Drosophila melanogaster: one gene and its partners. The protein of the gene in region 1 interacts with the protein of each later gene in a pairwise test. Each region holds a gene or a part of one and is shown on either strand. Other genes may lie near its edges.

Region 1 (2,639 bases):
CGATTCCAAAACGTACTGCTTTCTATATGTGTGCATTTCGAATCCATCTCGCTCGACCCTTTGATGGATATTAGACTGCCTCCAATTCTCCAGACATGTCACTCCGGCACGCAATCCATTATTTCCGGGTTCGGCTCTCAGTTGGGCCAAAACACCATAAACGAAACATCGGTGGCATGACAGTCAAAGGGTTAACTATGTATGGCCCAAACTTTTGCCAACAGATAATAAATTAGCGCATACATTATGAAACGCCATAAGGATGCGACTTCCGGTTGCCGGAGACGGCAAGGACTCCGTGACCCAAACTGCCAATTTACCACCCCGGCAAACAAACAGGTGACACTTTCTCAAACCGAAACGAAACGGAACGGGTTAAAGACGACACACGGAGTTCATTTACATGTCGATGGTTGTTGGATATGCATACGGTGGTCTTGGATGTCGTGAGTGGCATTGTCGGAAGGCAAGTAAAATTTTACGATTTTGAAGAATCATGCTTGATCAAAATAAAGTTGGTAACAACTTTTTGATGTCTTAATAATAGCGGATTAGGCATATTGCAACTTTCTGACGCTGCAGTTTTTGGAGCTCAGCTAAAAAGGAGCAGAAGCTATTCCTCTTAGGACTATTGAAATCGATTGGTACACGCTGGAAAAATCCTTTAAGTCTCAAAAAACCTCGGAAATAAAAAGTTCACATAGAGCAATTGAAGATATATTATGCCTAGAATATCTGATAAAATGATTTGGAGTGATAGGAATCTACAAGAACTATCAGTTTAAGGATCAAAAAAAGTATATCTATTGTATAATGGTTCAAATAAGATGGCTTCATTTTAATGTAATGACTAAAAATTGCATATTCATGATTTACATTTTACATTACCCCATGTTTTGCTATATAGTAAGATATCCTAAAGGATAACTTTCAGTGAGTGCAAGTAGGCTTCCACCACGCCTCTTTCAGACTATTACCGCTGTTATCGCTGTTATATTCGTCCACAAAATGCCGGTCGATAGCCAAGGGTCACTCTCATTGGTCAGCGCATGGACAATGGGTAAGCCTTACTATCTCCGCCCCAACACATAACAGTTGGTCAACTCCAAGGGCCAAGAAGTGATCGGCGAGCGGGGAGAGGTGGACTGGACTGGGCTGGGGGCATGTAATCTGGCTAACCAGTTATATGAAGTCCTTGTAACCGGGCAGCACAAATAAATGCCATGCGGCCCCGGCCAAGTGTCATGTATTTGACGAATAATTACCGTCAACATTGCGTGATTGGTTGAATCAGCCGGCGATGGAGGGTTGTGGCTGGCTTAGAATTAGCCCCAAAGCGGGTGTATGTGTGTGTGTGTGTGTGTACGTGGGGGAGTTTGTGTGACAAGAACCTATAATTACCACGGCAGGCAGGTGGTCGCCTCGCCAGTAGCTAGCTTCTTAGCCAGGAGCTGGATTCAGATATAGCCCGGCCGTCGGCGCGAACGGAAGTCACCGATATAGGATGCACTCGCCCGCCCAGTCGCCCATTTTGGATGTCACCGAGACCGTATCGATGCACTCCGAACTGGATGCGGAACTGGAGTCCAAGAACAATCCGTCCTACTCCATTTCCATTCCCCAGAATCTTCGGCTAACCGGTCTGGGCTTTCCCGGCATGATCGGTGCCAAGAGATCGTCGGAAACTCTACCCGCCTTCGAGTATATCGCACCACCAAGTCACGCTCTCCAGGCACTGGAATTTCCGCTGATGGAGCTCAATCGTGTGGGCGTAATTGGAGGCGGTATGTTTCCGGGTTTTGTGCACCGTCGCGTCCGCGGTGAAAAGCGACCCATTCCGGAGGCTCAAAAGGATGCCAAGTACTTTGAGCGGCGCAAGCGAAACAACGAGGCGGCCAAGAGGTCCAGAGATGCGCGGAAAATCCGCGAGGATAGGATAGCATTCCGAGCAGCGCTGCTGGAGCAGGAGAACTCCATTCTGCGGGCGCAGGTCCTGGCGCTGCGGGATGAACTGCAAACGGTGCGCCAGCTCCTCGGAGCCACAACAGCCGGCGGCATGTTGTCCATGGCCAGGCAGGTGTGAACCACTCTGCGGGATCAGATGGAAAAGTGTACATATCAATGAGGGAAGCTAGTGAGATTATTTAGTTTGATGTTAATAAATGTTTAAAATAAATACTAAGGATATTCTAATAATATATGTATGCATATGCAGGTGTCCCTTAAAAAAATATGTTATTCAGATATATAAATATTGGCCCATCTATATAGAGTATTTTGCTAGTGCTAGTACTATAGTTCTATAAAGTCATATATATATCATTTATATATCACAAATTGTGCAATAGAAACCATTAAAATTGATTAAAAGTGAGTAGGACTAGTTCGAGTTTATTTCATTTTAAAAAATGATTTCAACAAACGCATACAAATAATTAGAAAATATTTAACAAGCTAGTAGTCCAGAGTGCGCGACTGCACCTTTCCAGTCGAGTCCAGGATGAGCAGAACCTGTTCCTGTCCACAACTTCGAGCACCGGCAATGTCCGTCACCTTGAGGCGTGTGTCCATGAGCTCCTCCACGGGTAACTCTCTGTCGCGATAGAAATCGTAGTGACGCACAGTGCCATTGGTGAGGG
Region 2 (4,184 bases), on another chromosome or scaffold:
GGCATGAGTTCGATCAAAAGGGAGCGGGCACCCCATGGTGGGATCACTACTTACTTGTACAGGCAGTGCGCTGCGGTCAGAACCTTTCTGGGCGCGATTAGCGCCCCGCCGCAGATGTGGCCGCTTCCAAAGTTGTTGTCGTGGCGGAGAAGGCGGATGGAGACCAGGTGGCGCGTCTCGTCCGCCTTGGCCACGCTTCCATTGATGATGCGCGACTGCTGATTCTCCTGAAGGTCCGCCGCCGCGCAGGCGAGAAGGAACCAGAACAGAATGTAGCTGCAGCCGTGCAGGCCAAACTGAGTCATCGCAGATCAGATGAGAAGAAACAGAGCGCACGAAACTCACTGAATCGAGGGGTCGAGTCTGGGAGCCAGCAGCCCAAACTAACAATTGGCAATCAGCGGAGGCGCTATCAGTTCGATAAGGCAAACATAAACATATTAGGTGTAGATCACATCCGCACCTCATCACCAGGAACATGTAGCTGGGGGTCATGATGGGGAAACCAGGGCGGAGATGATCAATCTGATCAGTACGTTTAGCTTCGCAAGTTCAAATAATACATTTAATTCAATGTTGATATGTCTCTACACCAGTTTGCTTATAAAAGGTGGAATATGGTCTAAAAATTTAAGCTGTAAACATTTTTGAGCCTATATAAAAAGTATAATGGTAGATGTGTAAAAAGTTAGTGGATCTTTTTGGTCGCACTGATCTTACGTTTAGCTGTACGTGCTATTTAATACAATTACAAACGGATACGAGCTGATCTCGGCTGAGTCGGCGTGTATATAGATACATATGGTCGATTGTTAAAGGCACTATGGACGGCGTCGATTGCGCAGATTCGAGGCACGAGATTGCGTCTGAAAACTTAAGCTAAGATCCAATCGGAACGGAATGTATGGAAGTCGGGCGGACAGCTGTTATATGTAGCCCTGCAGGCTCCGCGACTGGCTGTGGTGGTGGCGCGGCGGCTGGTAACCCGGCTCCTGCATCTCCATTTGCATTACCAGGTTCTTCTGCTCGCCGCGGGCGTCGTAGGCTTGCCGGGCCTCGCGCTGCAGGATCAGAGCGGCTAGACCAAGGAGCATGAAGGTGACAACGGCCAGGGCGTAGGACCAGCCCAGCACGTTGAACTTGGGGTACATCATCCAGTCGCGGCGGTAGGCGCAGCCCCCGAAGATGCATACGGCCAAAAACATGAACAGAGCTGTGGGAGACCGCTGTTTAGCTAGTACTTATTGGGCGGGAGGCAGATACATACACGAGATGGCGGTGCCCATGTAGGAGAGGCGGACGAGCAGCCACTCGTACTGCAGAACGGCCTTAAGAGGCAGTCGGATGATGGTAAGCGAGAGCAGGGCCAGCACAAGGAACACGATGATGAAGGACATGGTCACGAAGCCCTGCACCGCCATGAGCCAGCCGGGCAGCAGATACTCACGGATAACGTAATACTCCTGTACGAGTGGGAGAAGATCAGGACAAGGATAAGAACCGGCCAGTTTGCTGTACTCACGTGCGAGAAGATGTTGTGGCAACCGGTGAACTGCTTCAAGAACGCGTACTTGGGGTACACGAAGTCCTTAAAGCAGTACTGCCACAGGCCCATGTTCTTGAAGCTGGCCCGCGTCTCCTCGTAGGACTCGATCCAGTACGGCGAGCAAAAGGACATCATCAGCACGAAAAAGCTGGCGAATGTAACTATGGCGCCGAAGACCACGCCATCTGGAAAGGGAATTGGGCATTGAAAGTATTTGGATGCAAATGCAGATCGGCCCGCATGCTTGAGTGCGTCACTTACTGGTGGCCCGCGGATAGTCGCCCTTTTCGACGCCCGAGTCCGTGGTGTCCTGCGACTGCTGCTTGTTAAGTTCGCGCATGCTGCTGTCCTGGGTCTCGAGGGATCGCAGTTGGAGCAGAGGAGTTTCTTTTCTGGGGATTGTCAGTAAACAAATACAACGCACACACCCAAAAAATGCAGCAACAACTAGGTGGGGCTAGCGATGGGACAGTGTCGATAAGAAATGTGGTGGGGCTCGGTCGATATACCGCGAATTATTTCAAAATACCTTTTTATTAAATTTATTACTTTAGGCTTGTTGATCTTCGGAAAGAGGGGCTATTTTGCAAAATGCTGTTTAAATATAAAACAAACCCATGCACAATCGATATTTTTTCACCCCTAGGTGAGCCCAGTGTGACCAGTACTTAGTGCAGAATACCGTTCTTGGTTTTTAATTCCATTCATTTCGTTCAATAATTACTATTTTATTTAATGCTGTTTGAGAAATACGATCATGTCCATCAAATGGCCCCGTCCACCTCGTGGTGCTCCAGGTGCTTCATGTAGGCCAAGAAGCAGGTCCAGCACAGGCTGCACGCGCTGATGAATGGCACCCGGTTGCGCTCGGGGATCAGGGTGAAGTTGATGGTGGCCACCAGTGGCCATACGGACAGAGCCACCTGCAAGAGCGATGGAATTGGTGGGTTAGGCGGCAGTTCTCCCTCGAATCCCAAAAGAGTACCTTGTACGTGGGCAGGAATTTCTTGCCGACCTCGGCTACCGCCTGCTCCACCGTCTTGGACTCCAGGAGGCTCATGATAAAGTAGAAGCAGGTCATCGCGCCGGGGGTGTACGAGATCGTCTCCACCGCCGCCTTAATGACGCCCGTCCTCAACGATGTCTGCGGCCACATGGCGCTGGAAATCTGAGGAGCAATCGGAATAGGAGTAGACCTAAACAGCAGCCATGTAAACGGTCACTAACCTTGACCCATCCGTAGAGGGTAGGAGCAACAAACAGACCACCGTACATGCTGAACCGGAGCACGCGCCACCAGTCGTAGGTGCCTGTAAGATGAAGACGAGAAGGATAAGGAGCTGAGAGCTGCTCGAAAGAATGCCGACTCACCCCAGCGCCTGCCCTCAACCGTTTGCTGGATGAGGCTGCCCGTGGGCCAGATCAGGCTGTACGATATCATGCCGCGCATAATCGGGTAGCGGGTGACGAACACCTTGAAGTTTTGCCACAAAAGTGGGCCCGCCATCGCAATCTCGGCCCTGCGGAGTCACAATCGCGCGGTTGGCATCTCATTAGCATGGCTAATACTTCAGGCCCACAACTGCATGGCCAGCTCTACCCACATAAAACCCACAAGCGAATGCGGGCCCCAATATTCCATAAATTGCCCTGCTCTACCTGTGAACCGTGCACATAGATGGCCGTCATGGCTTGGCTAGCAAGGCTCGCACTTTTCTACACGGCAACCTTCCTTCTGGCAGGAGCCTCTGGCGAGGATGGAAAAATCGTCAACGGCACTACAGCTGGCCCGGGGGAGTTTCCCTTTGTGGTCTCGCTGCGACGCGCGAAGAGCGGACGTCACTCCTGCGGCGCTACGCTGCTCAACCCGTACTGGGTCCTGACAGCCGCCCACTGCGTGCGAGGCTCCTCGCCAGAGCAGCTCGACCTGCAGTACGGCAGCCAGATGCTGGCGCGAAACTCCAGCCAGGTGGCCCGCGTGGCCGCCATCTTCGTCCATCCAGGGTACGAGCCGGAGGACAAGTACGTCAACGACATCGCATTGTTGCAGTTAGCGCAGTCCGTCGCTTTGAGCAAGTTTGTCCAGCCGGTGCGTCTGCCGGAGCCTCGACAAGTCACGCCCGGAAACGCCAGTGCTGTCCTCGCGGGCTGGGGATTAAATGCGGTAAGAGAGAAGCCATTCCTCCTTCAGACTCCTTGACTATCGACTGAACCTTTCAATTGTAGACGGGCGGCGTGGTCCAGCAGCATCTGCAGAAGGTCAAACTGCAAGTGTTCAGCGATACCGAGTGCAGCGAGCGCCATCAGACCTATCTGCACGACAGCCAGATCTGTGCGGGATTGCCCGAAGGTGGAAAAGGCCAGTGCAGCGGCGACTCCGGAGGCCCGCTGCTTCTTATTGGCTCCGACACCCAGGTGGGCATTGTTTCTTGGAGCATAAAGCCCTGTGCACGGCCACCGTTTCCGGGCGTCTTCACCGAGGTGTCGGCCTACGTGGACTGGATTGTAGAGACGGTAAATAGCTATTCGCCCCCGTCGTCGCTTTGGGTGGGCCAGCTGATTGTGGGACGATCCCCGCCTAGCCTAAGCAGCTAATGGATTTAACAGGCCCCATTAAAATACGGATTAACATACGCTA
Region 3 (3,601 bases), on another chromosome or scaffold:
GTGCTCCTTGATCCTGGCTCCTTTCAATGGCTCACCTTGTGAGAAGAGCATATACAATGGGTACACCCACACACGCACACACCACCCCACTTCGTCGCATTCAGACTCTCACTTATTAGAGGAAAAGCAGGTGAAACCCATCCTTAAGGCGGTGACGTTGCACTCGGAAGTCAGTCTGAATATGCAGCCCAGAAAATGGCAATAATGAAATCAAAATGTGAATGCCCTTTGCATTTCCTACTTACAGTTTGACCCTGTTACGAGCCAAGCAAAAGCAAAAGCTACAGATGAGCCTGGTCAGCCTGCAGGCACTTCCTTTGCCTGCCACGCCCCCCGTTGAATAAGCCCTCATTAGTCCCCCTTTCGAGAATTATGCGGCTTCGCAGCGTTGGCTGCTGCATTAAATTTGCATTCGAAAGCTGCGTTCGAAAGTTGAGACAAATCCTTGCCAGGCATTCGTTATGAGGATTCTTTTAGGGCCGCAGGTCAAAGCAAGTTTGGAGAAGCTTATTCAAATTATCAGATTTAGATACGAAGAACTCTCTCAAAATGGTAAACTAATATAAGCCAAGACTGTGTTAAATGGCAAAAAATAATCTTAAAGCAAATAGTTTCGTTAATAAAAATTTGATGCAATGATTGGGCTTTACAAACTTTTTTTAATCATATCCCCCTTCACTTGTTAATTTTTTTTGTGAACTCTACACAACCACTACTCTCCGCCTCGCACAAGAATCGGCAGTCTGCAAAGTATAGAGTTCTTCTTTTGACATTCCTATGGCGACTTGACCGCAGGATGTTTGTTACACTCGTATAACTTAAACCCCTCCAAGTACGAGAATGGCGCGAAGAAACGCCACATAACTCCATTAGGATTTTTAGGACAAGTTCGAGTCCCGCATATGTAATTAAAATATGTTCAAGGATCTCTGAATCTCTCAAGTAACGTTCAAGTAACTTACAGTAAATTAAATTTCACTGGAAAATAATCAATAAATGAAAATGAATGCTATAGTTCCAGAAGAACGAACTACATATATTTTGTTTCTATTACGTTTCCTAATATACATACATGCATGCCAACAGATTACGAACTTTATCCGTTTTATTAATGTTCTGGGCTACTATTATTGTAAATCTCTCGATGTTCCCCGTTTTAATTTATTTGCCAGACACAATGCGGTCGACAACAATTGCAGGACGTCGGCTGTCCTAATGGAAAATGGCCGGATCAAACCCTCAATCCTTTCAGTCACGTTTGTCCTTGTTGCCTCGCCTGGAATTAGACAACGAGTCGACCTTGACCCGACTGTTGACTCCATTGTCCACCCCGTTGGCTCGGATGGCTTAATTTTATATTTCCGTTGTAAATACACCCAAAACTGGTTCCATTCACATTCCGACACTAATGTTTTAACATTTCATTATTCGTTTTTCAAACACCAAGCTTAAAATATTTCTACCACTCAGATGATTGTTGCACTATTGCGTTAAATTGATGATTGTTAAATCTCATATTTGGTCAATTTGCTATTCATCACCTCTGCTTTTAAAATCGATTAAGCAGTGTTGTCATCTTATAAAATTGAGATGTGGAGAAAACTCTTAAGAAACTAGTTCTTTCGTAAACAATATGGCCGTGTTTATAACTTCGTGTAGCAGGCTTGTAAAAATGATAACAATCGCTGTTAAATTTCCAAGGAATCACATATTTAACAGTGTATGAAAAACGCAATATTTGTTTTTTCTAACTTTACAAATTAAATTATATAACTAATCCCCAATATCGCCATTCACCCAGAAAAATAGTTTTATCGATAAGTGGGTATCTCCATCCCTGGCTATAGCACGTTTCGGAAGAAAGTTTTTTTTTGACAATAAGATAATTAATACTATAAATAGCTTATACAATGGATACCCACATTGTTTGTGACCAAGTCTTTATTGCGCATGCTGAAGATGAATTGTTACTTATTTACGACAATGAAATTAATTTCGGGGAGGATCCTGCCCCAATCTATGATGACGTCTGGCAAAGCGAAGAGGACGTGACCCCAGAAGAGATTCTAGCCGACGTCAAAGACTACGGAGCTTTAGAGGAAGTAATGGACACTCCTATAATTTACGAAATCTCGGATAGCGAGAATGAAATGACTCCAGAAGAGAATTTAAACGAGGTCGTAGACCACGATTCGAGGAAAAAAAATGTCACTTACGATGTAGACGTTTCGGCCCTAATCCAGAATACCGAGCTCTTTCAACCAGAAAAACTTATGGTCTACATTCACGGTCCAAATTTCACGTTTCCAGATTCGGGATTCTTTGCAGAGCAGGGAGATAACTTGAATGCAAACAATGTAACCTACAAGACGATCGCGTCTGATACTATTAGCCATTCACCTGGAGAAGTGACCGATGTGACAGGCGTAATCTGTTATCACAGCCATGACTTCGTCTTCCAGGCATACTCGCCGCCATCGATCCCCAGCTTGCATGCCGACCATTGTCCTCGTCACTTCAAAACCTCACGAAACGTCTTCTGGGCCGAAATGGAGGAGGTGTCCTGCATCCTGCTGCATTCGGCGGCCGCCTATTTAGAGGCCCCCGCTTATGTGCACGACGACACGATTGCTTTTGTTGCCAAGGGTCTCGCCTTGGCCAAGGAATTCATGACCGATGGGGAAACTCCCCAGAGCAGACCGCAGAGCATCGGTCGCCTGGTGGCCGCCATTGTCATGGACAGGAAGTCGGCCGTTGTAATGGCATATGCCGTGAACCACTTCGTTCCTCAGACCATGACCGATGACAGCACAGGCGAGGTGTTAGGCATAATGCTCAATAACGTCATTCGCGGATTTGCCATCAACGACCACCTCCGTCGTATCATTATCAAAAAGACCTGCCCCGTTCTTTCCGTGGTGAACCAAATTCCAAACTAATAGTTCCCCGGCATCGCATCGAATCAATTTCATATTTTCATCATATCATCATGTGTGGCTAGTTTGAGCATTTGGGAAGGTAACACAAGAATAACCAGAAAACTGAATATAAGTGATAAAATAACGGTTGTCCTTGTAACTTTTAAGGTGTCTGTCAATTTTTTAAAATTAAAATATACAGGCTTTGTTTTAACATGTTGTTATCAGAAATGGGTTCCTATAATGAACACTATGTGATTATTTTTTATTAATCATATAAGGTTTTAAAGATAAGAAGAGAAAATCAAAAACTGTCCCGTCAGTGAATTTTGAAATGTTTTATTTTTAAGATGTATGGGAAAAAAACTAGTAATGATAAATAATTCTGTGGCTTAAAAAAAAAGGCATTTTAAGCTTAGATTTTCAGATAACTAAATGAATGCTTTAAAATGTGGTTTGCATATAAAAATTTTAACTATTTTGCACATTGCTGTATGTACCAGATGTATAATAAATCTTGCTTATGATTAAATAAATAAATAAATGAATAATTTTTTTTTAAATTTGTACTTACCATAAGTGTTGGACTTTTTTTTTCTTAAACTCCAATGAAAAGACTTCTTTAAGTTATTCAATTGTATTATTTTATTGTATGTAATGCAATAAATTTGTCAGTTAAAGTT

The links. The genes of interacting proteins can lie anywhere in the genome.
Region 2: the proteins of CG7786 (region 1) and pck interact in a two-hybrid assay, tested with the Drosophila melanogaster proteins (one large-scale study listed by BioGRID).
Region 3: the proteins of CG7786 (region 1) and CG15185 interact in a two-hybrid assay, tested with the Drosophila melanogaster proteins (one large-scale study listed by BioGRID).

The regions. Positions count from the first base shown.
Region 1 is NT_033778.4:16,233,802-16,236,440, reverse strand, and holds CG7786 (uncharacterized protein), read left to right. Parts: upstream 1-1,504; coding exon 1,505-2,083; downstream 2,084-2,639. Other genes in the region: CG15701 (uncharacterized protein), read right to left, coding at 2,455-2,639.
Region 2 is NC_004354.4:1,468,687-1,472,870, reverse strand, and holds pck (pickel), read right to left. Parts: upstream 2,206-4,184; 5' UTR 2,076-2,205; intron 2,024-2,075; exon of another isoform or gene 2,004-2,023; 5' UTR 1,887-2,003; coding exon 1,808-1,886; intron 1,732-1,807; coding exon 1,523-1,731; coding exon of another isoform or gene 1,464-1,522; coding exon 1,268-1,463; intron 1,214-1,267; coding exon 927-1,213; 3' UTR 546-926; downstream 1-545. Other genes in the region: CG14780 (uncharacterized protein), read right to left, coding at 55-305; CG14778 (uncharacterized protein), read right to left, coding at 2,311-2,469, 2,532-2,714, 2,774-2,856, 2,918-3,053; CG32808 (uncharacterized protein), read left to right, coding at 3,225-3,710, 3,773-4,141.
Region 3 is NT_033777.3:6,525,619-6,529,219, forward strand, and holds CG15185 (uncharacterized protein), read left to right. Parts: upstream 1-1,889; 5' UTR 1,890-1,910; coding exon 1,911-2,939; 3' UTR 2,940-3,056; downstream 3,057-3,601.